Drosophila melanogaster: one gene and its partner. The protein of the gene in region 1 interacts with the protein of each later gene in a pairwise test. Each region holds a gene or a part of one and is shown in the gene's direction. Other genes may lie near its edges.

Region 1 (8,464 bases):
ATCGCTGTATCTCCTTATCGTGGTATCTATCGCCTTGGGGCCCAGGACGTTGGCTGATCCGCAAGTGACCGGCTGGCTATATATGCGGCAATATATGTACTTTGGTGTAAGCTACTATACGCCAAATCAATTTATTGCTTACTGTTTAGTCTCCTGCTTTTCCTGTCCGTTCCGAGCTGCTCCTGTCAACGTACTGCTATTCGTGCGTTGAGAGTTCCCGGCGAGAAAGAAGCGAGTACGTGAGAGACAGAGAGAATGCGAGTGCGAGAGAGGGAGCACGAAGAAGCAGCAACGCAAAGGAGAGTGGATGAAAAGAGAAGAAAAGAGGCACACAATTAGGTTTACAGTTACGATTACATATGCAAGGGGGATCGGTGCGGTGGCATAGGGAGGTAGTTCGATTGATTACTGTTAATGCTGCTGCTGCTGCGGCCGTGTCTCTGTTGTTTGTTGTATTTACTCAATCCGATAATCGCTCACTATTTGCCAAAAATCTGCTCGCTTCCGCCGCCGTTTGCACAGCACACAAATCGAATTTTTACAGTGCTGTCGTCGGGTTCTTTTTAGTCCGCCATGCACTCACACAGTCAAACTGACAGGCACACGGATGGACACACACACACTTACTCAGCACACTCGCTCTCGCACACCCAAAGAGAGCCAGGCGCTCATACACAGGCAAAAACACGCACACAACACACACACTGACTTAAACACGCACACACTTATATACTGAGGCAACAACAGCAGCAGCAGAAAATTTCTTTTTCATCTAGGTTTTCAAAAAAAATACGAACGCGAGCATTAAATAAACGAATGCTACTATTTTTCGCTGTTGTTGTTGTTTGTGCTTTTTTCGTACCTCTTGTCTTTTTGGCAAACGGTGAGAACAGCTTTTCACTAGCGCACTGCACGCACACAGATGAGTGGGTGAACAACAAATACCTTTTAGTTAGTCGCCGCCAGTCTTCCTTTCCGTCCACATCCAAACAACTACTCCAATGCTTTGCTGTTTTTCTGTGTTGCCTCTGCTTTGCTTTGCTTCGCTTCGCCTCTGTGCTTGTGCTGTGCTGCGTGCTTCGTGCTGTGCCCGTGCTGTGCTGCTTCTTCTTCTTCCTCTGCTGTTTCAGTTTCTGCTTTCTGCCTGCAGGGGCGCCGTTGACAACTGACAAATAAAAAGGGGTTACTCTGTTCTCGAAATGAGCACGCCACCGAAGGCACAACAAAAAATTAAAAAGGATCGGAGCGGAGCGATGCAGCTGTGCGATGTGCTGCTAACTCGTGTGACGGGAATTGGGAATTGGGATTGCGAATGGGAATGGGAGGGAATACGAGAAGCGAATATGGGAATGACGAACGACGACGAACCGGGAACAGGAGTTGTCGTTCTATCTCGCCCGCACTCGGTGCCCGAATGTATCTGTATCTCTCTGGCACCCTCGGCGTTCCATTTCATTTTGCCGGCGACGTCCGTGCTCTCTGCCGCCGCTCTGCCATCGCCTCTGCCGCTGCGTTTATGCGCAGTGCGTCATTACACGAATACCTGTTTAAAGCGGAGGCATAAACGCGGCTTTGTCGATCAACATCCATGTTACCGAAACCCATGTTCGAGTTATAGAAACTTCGAGTAACAAATATCTATATTCTAGCAATGTTTACCCTTATTAGCTTAGTTAGTGCAATTATGTTTCATGTTTTTACAAACAGCAGAATGTTTTTAACAATAGTTATCTCTATATTCAGGTCCTTCAATTAAATCAAAAAGGAATGGGTTTTGTGAGTGGGTTGGGCTCCAGTGAGACTTGTTAATAATTTAAGAATTCGCGATATTCTAGTGTAAACAGCGCGTCACTGCATGTTCGCTGCTTTTGTTGTGCCAGTTGCCAGCGACAGCGGCGTCGTGTCATTATTCATATTCATGAGGGGGTGCGTCAGGTTTGCTGAATTTTACTGACTTGTTTGCGCGAACCGAAATTATTTATGGTTCAGCACGAAGAGCGATAGAAATTCATGCATATGTTGTTGGTTGGTTAAAAAGTTGCCCTTACATGCAGTTAAGTGCATATAATTTGTCTACTTGCGCATTTATTAAAAATGCATACATATTAAATAATGTACTTAATTACTCAGCGGTTTGAGGGTTGGAGCATTTACAGATGACACTGTAGTGATCAAATGGTAGCTATACATGTATAAATATCTAAAATATTACAAAACTATTCCAGCGTTCAAGCATTAACTAATTCGAGAACAGCTGCTGGTTCCATAATCGAGTACACACGTGTGCTACTCAAAGTCTAAGCTGAGAGAGCGGTCGAGCGGCAACTTGATATTTAAAAAACAGAACCCTACTTAACAGTCGACTCAAGTTCGATCCCCCCGCAGGTACGCCCCTCAGTTCACCTATCGCTCGTTTGCCTTTGCCGCCATCATTCGCTGTTGCCGTTTTTACCCTATTCGTCGAGCAACATACATAGCAGCTGCAATTTTGCTGTTTCTGTTTGTGGCTTCCATGTGCCTGCCATTCGTTCATTATACCCTTGTATAGAGCATTATCACTTTTTCAGATAGCGGCAATCCTATCTAATACATTATCAATATGATCAATTATATGGTTTCATATGTACTTCAGTGCGATTGGCTTTCCAATTTGATGATCTACTGAAATAAGCTTTTATCAATTGCTGCAAAATCGATCAAGCGAAATTTAATTTATTAGAAAATATTCCACTATAGAGCATCAAAACGTCGGCTAGACCCAGATAGCTTCCTTTTCTCGCGGCGATATGCGTGCGATATATCGCATCGATACTCGATGCGGATGCCCATCTGTTTTGCGACATTTTCCCGCTTTCCCTGTTGCAAAACCCGTTTTTCGAATTATAAATTCGAGTATTTTTTAAAACTTATAATGATTCATTTTCTAAAATCCCCACTGGAGAGCGACATTCGAATTCGTAGTGGTTGAATTTGTATTCTCTCTTTGCCATGACACAGCTGTATGTATTAATCATTCGGTATACAAGCAACTTTTTCGCACAGGCCCCTTTCCAAATCAACTACGTCTCTGTGTGTGCGACTCGCTCGTTTTTGTATTTTGCCATTCTCGCTGTTCACGCACCAATACACACAAGTGGTTGTTCAAAGTTGCCAGATTAACCTTTTACCGGTGCCAGACTGTTTTAAACTTGAAGAGGATGATGTACTTGTACTTATATATTTTTTGTGACTAAAAATTAAATTCTTAAAAAAAAACGAACATAATTCCATTTCATTGTTATTTATTAATATATAGTTCCCCTTAACAACATGTGTATATTTTTTTAAATCGATGATCAGCTGGCCTTGCCTGTCTATCGATTGCCCTTTTTGGCATCTCTAGTCCTATTCATCGAAATTTTATTTTGTATCCGGACGTGGTCCCCCAACACTTTCAGATCTCTCCAAGCGTTCCGTGCATCATGTTGACCAGGTCCATTTTATCCGTTGCCGTGTGTGGCCTCCTCCTGTCGCCCCTCCTGCCCATCACCCGTGCGTCCCAGGAGGAGGACACCGGCAAACAGGACAAGCAGTTCACCGTGGAACTGGACCCAGAAACCTTCGACACTGCGATTGCCGGCGGCAATGTCTTCGTCAAGTTCTTTGCTCCATGGTGAGTTGCAATTCGATTTGGGTTCCTCAACCCCTCCATTCCGCCCTGCGCTTACAACCTGAACGAAATAAAAAATCGCCGTCCCAAATTGGCCAACTTTTGCCGGCGAATCGCGGCGGTCCACATAGGTCGTCTATTTTATGTGACCAAGCCACGCACACATAATTATCAGTGGGTGTTTTGGTTTTCACTTTCATTCAATTTCTGGCAATTTTCTTGTAATGAAACAGATTAGCCTATGCCTGTTAAAAATCAACAAGTATTTACATAAATGAAATTTAGCTCACCAAAAATGGTCTAAATGGTCTTAAAAAGCGTGAATAAGTATTTATTTAGCAATTTTACAATTGCCAACTTTATTTGTAGTATTAATAATATGAACTGCTAATCCTAAAAAAACAATTATTTCCAATAGAGAAATTCATATTATTGCAAAAATAGCGAAATATGTACCCTCATAAATCCTAAAGAATTGGAATCTGAAAACCAGAACATACATTTTGTTAAAATTTGTATATTTCGGCGTGTTAGAAATTTACCTGACGATCGTGAGTGACATAAATTCGCGACCCCGGCAATTTGGTCAAAAACTAAAGATCCGGAGAATTGAAGATTCGTCATGTCTGTCGAGCAAATCGCACGTTCGCCGATAAGACGATCAAAGGGGCTTTGGTGTCCCCCTTGATTGACAAACTAAATACTCCAGATTTCGGCAACTATTATAGTTTTCATAGCGCCCGGCTCTCACGTCTTATCAAGAAGCCATCGCAATGCCTATGAGCTAATTTGATTAGGTTCAATTATGATGCTAGAAAGTGCCCTGCGATTAGAGGAGGGAGTTTAAGGAAGCTCGAAATGCGATTCGGCGGCTCTAGCAACCAGATGATAAACTCTTTGTTCGGGACAAAGCGCCAAGTCTTATCGCTGTTCATTGTTTTGTGTTCCTTTGTATTTGGACGGGGAAAACAATGTGAGTTTGACCGATTTATCGATTCCTATTTCAAAATCAATTTAATCGCAATAGATTAGGTGTTGAATATGGTTTGTTAGATGTGCGTCATACAGAATTCGTATCCATTTCATATGGCATCTTTTAATCGTAGGTGCGGCCATTGCAAGCGTATTCAGCCGCTGTGGGAACAGCTGGCCGAGATCATGAATGTGGATAACCCCAAGGTGATCATCGCCAAGGTGGACTGCACCAAGCACCAGGGACTCTGCGCCACGCACCAGGTTACCGGCTATCCCACACTGCGCCTCTTTAAGCTGGGCGAAGAGGAATCGGTCAAGTTTAAGGGCACTCGCGACTTGCCCGCCATTACCGATTTCATCAATAAGGAACTGAGCGCACCCGCTGAGGCGGATCTGGGCGAGGTCAAGCGCGAGCAGGTCGAGAACCTTAATATTGGCAAGGTGGTTGACCTTACCGAAGACACCTTTGCCAAGCACGTGTCCACCGGCAATCACTTTGTCAAATTCTTTGCACCCTGGTGCAGTCATTGTCAGGTAAGCCGAATACAATGCCTTCTCGCCTAAAATGCCTAACTGTGGCATCCTTTTCGTACAGCGTTTGGCACCCACGTGGGAGGACCTGGCCAAGGAGCTGATTAAAGAGCCTACCGTAACTATCTCGAAGATCGACTGCACCCAGTTCCGTTCCATCTGCCAGGACTTTGAGGTCAAGGGGTATCCCACTCTTCTCTGGATCGAGGATGGCAAAAAGATTGAAAAGTACTCGGGTGCTCGCGATCTGTCCACGCTGAAAACGTACGTGGAGAAAATGGTGGGCGTGCCACTGGAGAAGACCGCTGGCGAGGCCGGCGATGAGAAGGTGGTTATCGAGGAGGTTGCCGGCGAGGAGGACGCAGCCAAGAAGCTGACTCCACAACAGCTGACTGGCGAGGACGAGTTCGACCAAGCCATTGCCGAGGGCGTTGCCTTCATTAAGTTCTATGCTCCGTGGTGTGGACACTGCCAGAAGCTGCAACCCACCTGGGAGCAGCTGGCCACGGAAACGCACCAGGCTCAGAGTTCCGTGAAAATTGCCAAGGTTGACTGCACGGCGCCGGAGAACAAGCAAGTGTGCATCGACCAGCAGGTGGAGGGCTATCCAACTCTCTTCCTTTACAAGAATGGTCAGCGCCAGAACGAGTACGAAGGCAGCCGCTCACTGCCGGAGCTGCAGGCCTATCTGAAGAAGTTCCTCGGCCACGACGAGCTCTAAAGCATCTGCCGGTTCACAGGGAATCAGCAGTAGTCGAATGATCAAATAATCGCCCGCCAAATTAATTGTAATCGTAATTTTTCTTTCTCCAGCATAAACCTCTGTGAGGAGTCCGCATTTAATCAATATATCCAACAACACCCAAACGACAACGCGCTAGCTGAAATTGATAAATTCAATCTGAGTTCCTTTTACTTTTTTTTCGTTTTTGTCCCTCTTCCTTAGCTGTTTTTGTAGAATTTTTTTTATACTTATTTGTTTAGTGTTTACGTAAATGGGGCACGGGACTGTGTGCGCGATGATAAGCCATTTAGCGAACTTACATTTCAATTTTAAAGTCATTTTGAGTAGCCTACGTTTTAGGAAAATTTGTCAACACAAAGCTAATAAATATCAATTGGAAAACAATAGGCTGCTGTTTAAAGTATTTTATTATTATCTGTACAATATGGTTTATTTGAATAATTGTTTGGGAAAAACCACTATATAATGTTCTGAGAAGAGCTAAAAAACAGATGTTTGTGGGTTTTTCGAATAAATAGGAGTATGCAAATTTTTAAGCTGACTTATTGGCGTTCTTTAAATATTTGTTTAACACACTTTAAAATCCATTTAGATTTTGATGCCACTTAATAGTGGAGCAGACAGGTTTTTTTGATTTGAAATTTTAGCAGCGCGCGCTGTTGTCGATAACAATTTATCGATTACAGATCTAGTCGAGTCATCGAAAACGGGAAGTTTCAAGTATTTTAATTTGGGCTGCCAGATCTACGTAATGGATAAATGTATTTATATGGCACTTAATTAAATGTTGTGTTATTTTTATCTAAAATTGCGGAACCCGGGAAAATACAACTGAAAATGAAATTGCATTTGTCGGATCCACAAGAATACAATTATTACGGATGCGACGAATCCATCCATATATCGCATATGAAGTGCCATCGGTCTGCCCTGCTGTTTGCAATCCATGCCTGGCACACTGCTGCTGCGATATAAATCGTATCGTGTCTGCATCTGTCTGTCGTTGTTTTTGCATTTGAAGTGAGACTTTTTGCCGTGTCTTTGGCTCGTCCTTACGAAGCCGTCCCGTAGGTTGTCCTTGTGCACGTTGTCAGCGCAGAACAAATCCCTAGCCGGGTGCCAGTCTATACCTAATATCCCCGTTTCCCGATGAACGACAACGGTAACGGCGGAGCAGCGCCAGTCTCCGGTGGAGTGTGCGGTGTTGGTGGTGCGCACGGAGCGGCTGGTGGCGCTGATGGTGCTGGTGGTGCTGGCGGTGGCGGCGGATGCGGGGCTGGCGGTGGAGGTGCTGGTGCAGGTCCGGGCGGGGGTCCCGGGGGCGGAGCAGCTGCTGCGGACCTGGCTGGCGAGGCAGCTGGAGGAGCAGCAGGTGGTGATGCAGCCATTAATAACCAAGCTAATGCCAATGGAACCAGCGAGAGCCCAGCGAAAGGACTTAATTCTAGCGAGGATCTGGACGCCAAGCGGCGCAAGTGTCGCGAAACGGAAGAAGGCCAGGATGAAGCCAGCACGGTGGGTACAACGCCAAAAATGTGATCTTATTTGCCAGATTACCAGCCAAGTGTGTTATCAACATTTATTGATTTTGTCCACTATGAGTGGGGACTAGCTCAGACCATAGTATTAAGTCAAGTTGATCCTGGGAGAATGTGCCCTAATCCTGATCAAATCTTACCCATCTAGATGATCGATGCGAATAGTGTGCTCAATAAGATCGCCAACCTGTACGCCGAACAGCTGATGTCGGACATAGTGCTACTGGTGGACGGCAAGGAGTTTCCCGCCCACCGCGTCATCCTCTGTGCCAGCAGCGACGTCTTTCAGGTGATGCTAATGAATCCGGAGTGGAACGAGTGCAGCAAGCACGTGATCGAATTGCACGAGGAAGCCTGCTGTTCGGCGGTGTTTCCGCAGTTCATCAAGTACCTATACGTTGGCCAAATCGAGGTCACGCTGCAGACGGTGATGCCAATGCTGGCGCTGAGCGACAAGTACAATATACGCGACCTGATCGATCTCTGCGTGGACTACATGAACAAGCACGTGGCCAAGGCGGCCACCAGCGGTTATCTTGTGTCCTGGCTGCAATATACGCTCTCCTTCACGCCCACCCACAACGATCTCACCGAAACACTCAAGCGGTTTCTCAAATGGAACCTCGAGATGGTTGCCGAGTCGCGGGACTTTGTTGAAATGGACCCGGCCATACTGATACTGCTGTTGCAGCAGAACGATCTGGTTGTCACCAGCGAGTACAAATTGTTTGACATCCTGCAGACGTGGCTGCTGCATCGTCGCGAACAGATGGAGGCCACTGGCAGTGGCGGTTTCATGGAACTGATCGAACAGACTGTGTCCCACATACGCTTCGGCATGATGACGCCGCGCCAGCTCTCACACCTGCTAATGGATCCGCTGGTCGAGTATCACAAAGAGTTCCTCGTCGAGCGCATTGCCATCGGCATGAGCTATCAATCGGGCCATGAGGATCGGGTGCGAGAGGTGCGAGCCACCGAATCGGGTAAGCTGCAGTTTACGCCGCGGCTATATTGGAACGACAC
Region 2 (6,543 bases), on another chromosome or scaffold:
CCTTCGAGGACTTGGAGATCACCAGTGTCCTGCTGGACGACATAATCAGCGTGGGTGAGCTGCAGAATTTTTCGCATATCATTCAGCTGAGGGTAAAGTCCCTGCGCGATACCGACGATCTACTGGAGCACGTGGGACTGGAGGATGCCAAGCAGTTCATTGAGGACAACCCGCATCCGAGGCTCTGGCGACTGCTGGCGGAGTCTGCGTTGAAGAAACTGGAACTGGAGACGGCGGAGAACGCCTTTGTCCGTTGTGCCCACTACCCGGGCATTAAGTTGGTCAAGAGACTGCGCACCATACACTCCAAGGAGCTGCAGAGGGCGGAGATATCAGCCTTCTACGGAGAGTTCGAGGAGGCGGAGAAGCTCTACCTGGACGCGGATCGTCGCGATCTGGCCATAGAGCTGCGCATGACCCTTTGCGATTGGTTTCGCGTGGTGCAGCTGTACAGAATGGGAGGATCGGGAGTGTCGGACCAGCAGATGGAGATCGCTTGGCGGGAGATTGGCCACCACTTCGCCAACCTGCGCTCCTGGGAGAGTGCCAGGGAATACTACGAGAAGTCCCACTACCTGGAGGGTTACATGGAGGCTCTGTACCACTTGGAGCAGTTCGACGACTTGGAAAAGTGCGTGGAACGGCTACCGGAGAAGAGCCCGCTGCTTCCGAAGCTGGCCGAGATGCTGGCCTCCGTGGGCATGTGCTCCGAGGCTGTTCAAGCCCATCTTCGATTCGGCGACCAGAAGGCCGCCGTCGCCACCTGCGTTAATCTCCGGCAGTGGGGCGAGGCTGTTGAGCTGGCCCAGAGGTTCCAGCTGCCCCAGGTGCAAACGCTCATAGCCAAGCACGCGGCACAGTTGCTCCAGGAGGGACGCCTCAAGGAAGCCATCGAGATGCAGCGGAATGCTGGGCGTCATCTAGATGCAGCTCGCCTGCTTTCTCAAATGGCGGAACGGGAGCAAGAGAAGCGTGCTCCGCTGCTGAGAATCAAGAAGCTGTACGTGCTGGCTGCTCTGCTGGCCGAGGAGCACCTCAAGGCTGTGGCCACGACGGAGATCGACTACGCCAGCGGCAGGAACACCCTACTGGACTCCATTGCCCTGGAGGATGCGGCCGCCATCGAGAGGCTTTGGCACTGCGCCGAGGCCTACCACTTCATGCTCCTAGCCCAGAGGCAGCTTCGCTTCGGGATCGTCCACAGTGCGGTGGTCACTGCGGTGAGGCTGCGCGACTACGAGGACGTCCTGCCTCCAGAGCACATCTACAGCCTGTTGGCACTGGCCAGCTGTGCGGATCGGGCCTTCGGAACCTGCTCCAAGGCTTTCATGAAGTTGGAGCAACAGGCTCATCTTCCCGAGGCTACCCTTCAACGGTACGAGGAGTTGGCGGCTGGGATCTTCGCCAAGTACGATCCGGAGGACACCACTGGCGATAGGGTGGATTGCTATTCCTGCGGAGTGCCCGTGCCAGATAGGTAAGTGAAGGGTCGACGTCAGAAGCTGGATTATAATGATGATACTCATGGAATGCCGATCCTTTCAGCTCCCCCTCCTGCCCCGAGTGCAATGCTCGCTTCCCGGCGTGCATCTCCTCCGGGAAACCCATCACCCAGCCGACGAACAACATATGGATCTGTACCACCTGCCACCACTGCGCAGCTCCCACCGAGATCTCCAGGCACCGAACTTGCCCACTGTGCCACAGTTTGATCGTGTCCATGACGGTGGAGATCTGAAATGAGCGGGGACTAGTGTTTTAATTACTCCAGCTGTTTTTCATTCTGCTTATCCCAGGTGGTACAGGCGTATCTACTCCGCAAATAAACAATGTAGTTTTAAGATAGAATTCAAATTTATTTTCAAGTGAAAAGTGTTATAAGTGGAAAGAGTGACTGTTCACAGTGAGTATTTCCTGGGGAGTGCGCTAGGGCCACACTACTAGCTCATCCAACACTCGCAAAGCGGTCACACTGGCGAGTGCAGCTAAGTAAGTCGGTTGTCCGTTTCTTGCTGAATTTTAAATAAGTTAAATAAATTTCTGCTTCGTGCGGTGGTGTGCGTACGCAAATATAAAATAAAGTAAATAGTAATTGCGGTGCTTGCGAAAACCAAACGAGCTCCAATTGACCGACGAAAATACTTAAGTGCATTAAAGAATTGCGTTGTTGTGCGTCGCGCCCGTTTGTCCTTATTGTTGTCGTTAGTGGAGTGCACGAAAAGTAATTGTTTTTATTTAAAGAGGTTGCATTTTAATTGCTAAATCAGCTCAGTTGCGAGTAGAGTGCCAAAATAGAGAGTAGCGACAACGAAAACAAGTTTTTGTGGATGGTGAGAAAGTAAAAACAATAGCAAATTTATATATATAGCTATATATATATGTGGTAAGGTGCTGTAAGCATTTAAAAATACAAATCCTCTCGAGGTTTTAATGGCCAAAGTTTCGTAAACGTGTAAATTGAGTGGAATTCGATTGCGAGTGCATTCTTGGTTTGTTTTGAGTGAGAACCGAAAACCAGTTTACACCGTGCTTCTTGCCAAGGTGAGTTTTAACCCCAATCGTGGCAGTTTAACGTTAATTTTAGTCATTGTTATGTTGTTAAAAATAAGTTTTCTTCTGTTAAATGTGCAATTTCGCCTGGTTAGCTTTGTCAGCTCTCTTTCCCTTCCACCTTTCTTCTTTCCCAACGAGCGGTTTGTTTATGACCGCAGTAGTGCACTTGTGTGCGTGTCAATTAGCGCTTTTATCGGGCGCACACCAAGAACAGTTAAACCTGTTCTGGTTTCTCTTTCGCACAATTTAATGGCCTTTCTTTGGCTTTAGTTTTGCGCTTTCGTCGACTTCTTCTTCTTTGTATCTCATGCATGTATCTTTATATCTGTCATTCGGGGAATTGGCAGCAAATCGGCAAACTTCTCTTTCATCGACCCCCTGCGACCAGCACCTCGCTCCCTGGAAACCCGCATCTTGTGGATTCTTTCCAGTTTCCAGATTGCTGCTGAAGCTTCCAGCTGTCACAGCCGCAACAACAACAACGCCAACGGATCAAATGAAAACCCAGCCAGCATAAACTCACACACATCGAAATTGCCTAACTAACGCACACATTAAAATACAGTCGATGCATCGTCACGAAAATAAATAACAATAATAGCCGTTTATAATTTAGATCAAGTCGCAAAAAATTTTTTTGCGTTTAATTCTTTATGAGTACTGATTAAGGTATCAGTTCAGCGATATTTCATATTACTTCTGAATATGGGGGTGCACACAAATTAAGATATATGTAGAAACCGTTCTTATTTTTTATAGAATTCATTAAATAAGTATGGAATAAACTGCGATCATATTTCCCATACAAAGCATTTTTATTTTTCACACAGTTTCCTTAACCAAGCGATTTTAAGCTTAACCTTATATTTCTGACACTGGCAATGGAACTTGATTTTTATTATCATACGTGATTTAATGAACAATGACGCCTGCTTAGGACACGAGCTTCGAAATGCAATGCACAGCGAAAAGTCCCACAAGCCATTGCAAAATTAAAAACTGAAATGGCACTCAGAGGTGCACTCTCCCCACCCTCGGTATCATATCATATCATACCATGCCGTACATGTCACAATGTCTGTTTAGGTTCCTTTATGGAGCCGGGCTTTGTCGTCGCCATGATTACTCAGCTTTATTGATAATGCTGGGTGGAGGAGTGGCAGGGAGTGGCTGGGATGAAACCTCCTGGGATTTCTTGTCCAATGTGGCGGTGGTTAGAGAGCAACCCATGAGTCGGGATGTTAGTTTTCCCCTTATGATTACGACATTCTCTGTTCTCTATCTTTTCGCTTTGGGTTTGCATTATCCAACATTTTTCTTTGCTTTCTCCGTATTGTTGCAAGTGCATTTCGCTTTTGCTGATGATTATGCTTAATTCTTGTTCGTCTGTCTGCATTGCAATGTGTGGGTGCCTTTCCACTAGAATAATATACACATGTTTTCTTGGTTTTCAGCTGAAATCGGTTCTCTTCGCTGAATCAATCGAGAAAGCTTCTAGCTCTATCCAAATTCGGGCTAGAAATCCGAGCTTCGCCCGCTAATTGGCCAATACAAACTGAGGTGTTGAGTGTTTGGCTCACTTGTGAAATGAATACGAAACAGCTGAAATCACTGTTTCTCACTGATACTTCATAATGGCAGCTAACATCCATCCCAAAATAATAACGTTTGAGAACCCTTTGCCTCTTTGCTTTAATTAAACTGTTCACTGAAAGTTTTGATTGGCCTAGCATTTACGTAGTTCACAAATGTAAGACCCTAGACCTCGTGCAAACTGATATTCTTTCAATAATTTCATTTCCTGGGCCAGAACAACTTGTTTTTATACCAAATCTATTTCTTGCCATTGAAATCGTTTATTATTCTTAATAATCGTTTTTGCCAAATGTGCTTTGTCGCCTCGCCAAGGCGTTAAATTGCCCACTGAACGCCAAACATATGCGTTGCGGTTATTGGAGATGTGTATTGTGGATTCAGTAAACTCGACTTTGATTTCGCTATCCAAAGTACAGCTCAAGTGAGGGCTCCTCCTTTGTAGAATAATTCTGTTTATATAAAGCGGGAAGCGACAATCTTTGTTTAGCCTTTATCAAGTGCGCAGTACTTGAAGTTGGGGGAATAGCTGGCTCATTTTCCCCCTATGCTTAAGATTATAGTAATCCAAGTCAAATCCAGATGTTTACATATGCACTGTGCTGAATCAATTGAAAATACATCACAAAATATATACACACAACTTGAAGAATATAAGACCTACTCTTAGCTCTGATGGAGGTTTAATTGGAACGAAAATAGGCAATGCTTATACTTTATAAAATACATATCATTCTAATTGAATGAAATAGACGAATGCCATTGAGTTTTTTTAACAACAAAGCTTTCTCCTTAGTCCGAAAGTATTTCGCAGATTTTCTTTGGTTTGTTTTTGTTTTGTTTTTTTCTTTCGAAAGCTTTCATCGAAAATCAGGAAATTAGTCATATATAAGTACCTACATATGTATACATTATAGACAGATTGCCAGCGGAAACGGACTCGCAACTTACTTCTAATCAATCTTCTATTACCTTTGCTAACATTTTATGGTTCTCCCTCAACTTTTCGTTGACCCCTTCCGATTAAGAACCACTATCAGTGTGCCTCATCGTGTTGTTTCTGCTTGTCCAATACTGGGCGCAGATAAGGGCGAGGTATGATAAATATGAGGTGTGCCAAAAGTACACACATATTGGGAAAGGTCTGAAATACAAACCTGCGAATTGAGCGGTAGATTGACCCGAAGTTCGAGCCTTAGCCAGACTTTTGTGAATGAAATCCGAGTGACTCAGCATTGGAACAGATGCTGGGTATGCGGTATCGATGAATGGTGCATGGATTCGATACTCGATAAAACAAACTGTGCCGAACACGTTTTCCATTGAAAAATCTCGCACACTCGCCTATTATACATACAACTAACAGATCCGTATAGTTTATAGACTATAGTCTAGCATTGTTTAACCTAAGGTGACTCATCCACGACATATTCATTTAGCTCATTAAAACACCAATCAGGCATGTAAACAAATAAGTAAATTGCAAATGTAAGCTCGTTGTCTCGTGCAAGTTCGCATTTTAATATGATCTACATATGCGGAAGGGAAGATTGAGTGGCAAAATGAAACTTAATGGCAATGGGTTAGAGTAACACCCTAGTTTATGGTTAATATTTTTGATTCCAAAGGTTTATACTTTGTTTGAAAAACGTGGACTCTGCTAATCGTTAAAATGAAAGATTTAGCATTCAAATTGCAAATTAAATTAGACCGGATTGTTTGGTTCACACGATTTCGTTGTCCATCGTAAATTTGTATGATGTTACGGGATGATTTGGTATTATTCTATTAGTCTTTGTCCATGACCGGATTACGCACCTTCCGTTCCGTGGATCTGCTTATATATAGAGAGACTGAATTAGTCACCTACAACAGAACAAATATCAGTGAACCTCATCGCTGTTGTAATGGATGAGAATGACTGCGGCGGTCTTATCATCCACCCTTATCACTTGTAAAATCTTGAGCAAAGTCGAGGGGTATGCCAAATGGTTATCTCTTTCTACTTTAGGTTATATTGCCCCAGTTGTATATTATCGTTTCGGCTATCTTAAGGATTGTAATATGTATCTAAGAGGGCGAACACATTCACGATCTGCTCTAAAACGTGAACGTTCTATTAACACTGGGTTTCGAACAATTTCTCGTTTAAAATTTATTTGGCGCCGTTGGCAGTTCATCACGCGATTTCTTGCTAATGACGGCCTTGACAAACACCACTTTCTGATGAGTTAAGGGAGCACCTGCCGTGCGATTAAGTGAATCAGATTTCTCGCTGGCAAGAAATGAAACCAACAATTATCTTTGCAATATAAATATAGATTGTGGATCACGACAATCCCCCAGTTAATTGTACGTACTTTCCAACTGACCAGACATGGCTGGCCCGTGCTTCAT

The links.
Region 2: the proteins of prtp (region 1) and drpr interact in binary tests that used the Drosophila melanogaster proteins (3 or more experiments, as listed by UniProt).

The regions. Positions count from the first base shown.
Region 1 is NC_004354.4:11,713,613-11,722,076, forward strand, and holds prtp (pretaporter), read left to right. Parts: upstream 1-3,143; 5' UTR 3,144-3,202; exon of another isoform or gene 3,203-3,208; intron 3,209-3,355; exon of another isoform or gene 3,356-3,437; 5' UTR 3,438-3,461; coding exon 3,462-3,652; intron 3,653-4,377; exon of another isoform or gene 4,378-4,620; coding exon of another isoform or gene 4,621-4,622; intron 4,623-4,755; coding exon 4,756-5,158; intron 5,159-5,219; coding exon 5,220-5,876; 3' UTR 5,877-6,282; downstream 6,283-8,464. Other genes in the region: Tango10 (transport and golgi organization 10), read left to right, coding at 7,050-7,415, 7,587-8,464. UniProt on the Drosophila melanogaster protein: Possesses thioredoxin activity. Acts as a ligand for Drpr and is required for the phagocytosis of apoptotic cells. Binds to the extracellular region of Drpr and augments Drpr tyrosine phosphorylation.
Region 2 is NT_037436.4:1,726,523-1,733,065, reverse strand, and holds the start of drpr (draper), read left to right. Parts: upstream 1-1,958; 5' UTR 1,959-2,541; intron 2,542-6,543. Other genes in the region: Oseg4 (outer segment 4), read left to right, coding at 1-1,477, 1,546-1,738. UniProt on the Drosophila melanogaster protein: Receptor which is involved in the phagocytosis of a variety of cells including apoptotic cells, severed and pruned axons, degenerating dendrites, salivary gland cells, germline cells and bacteria.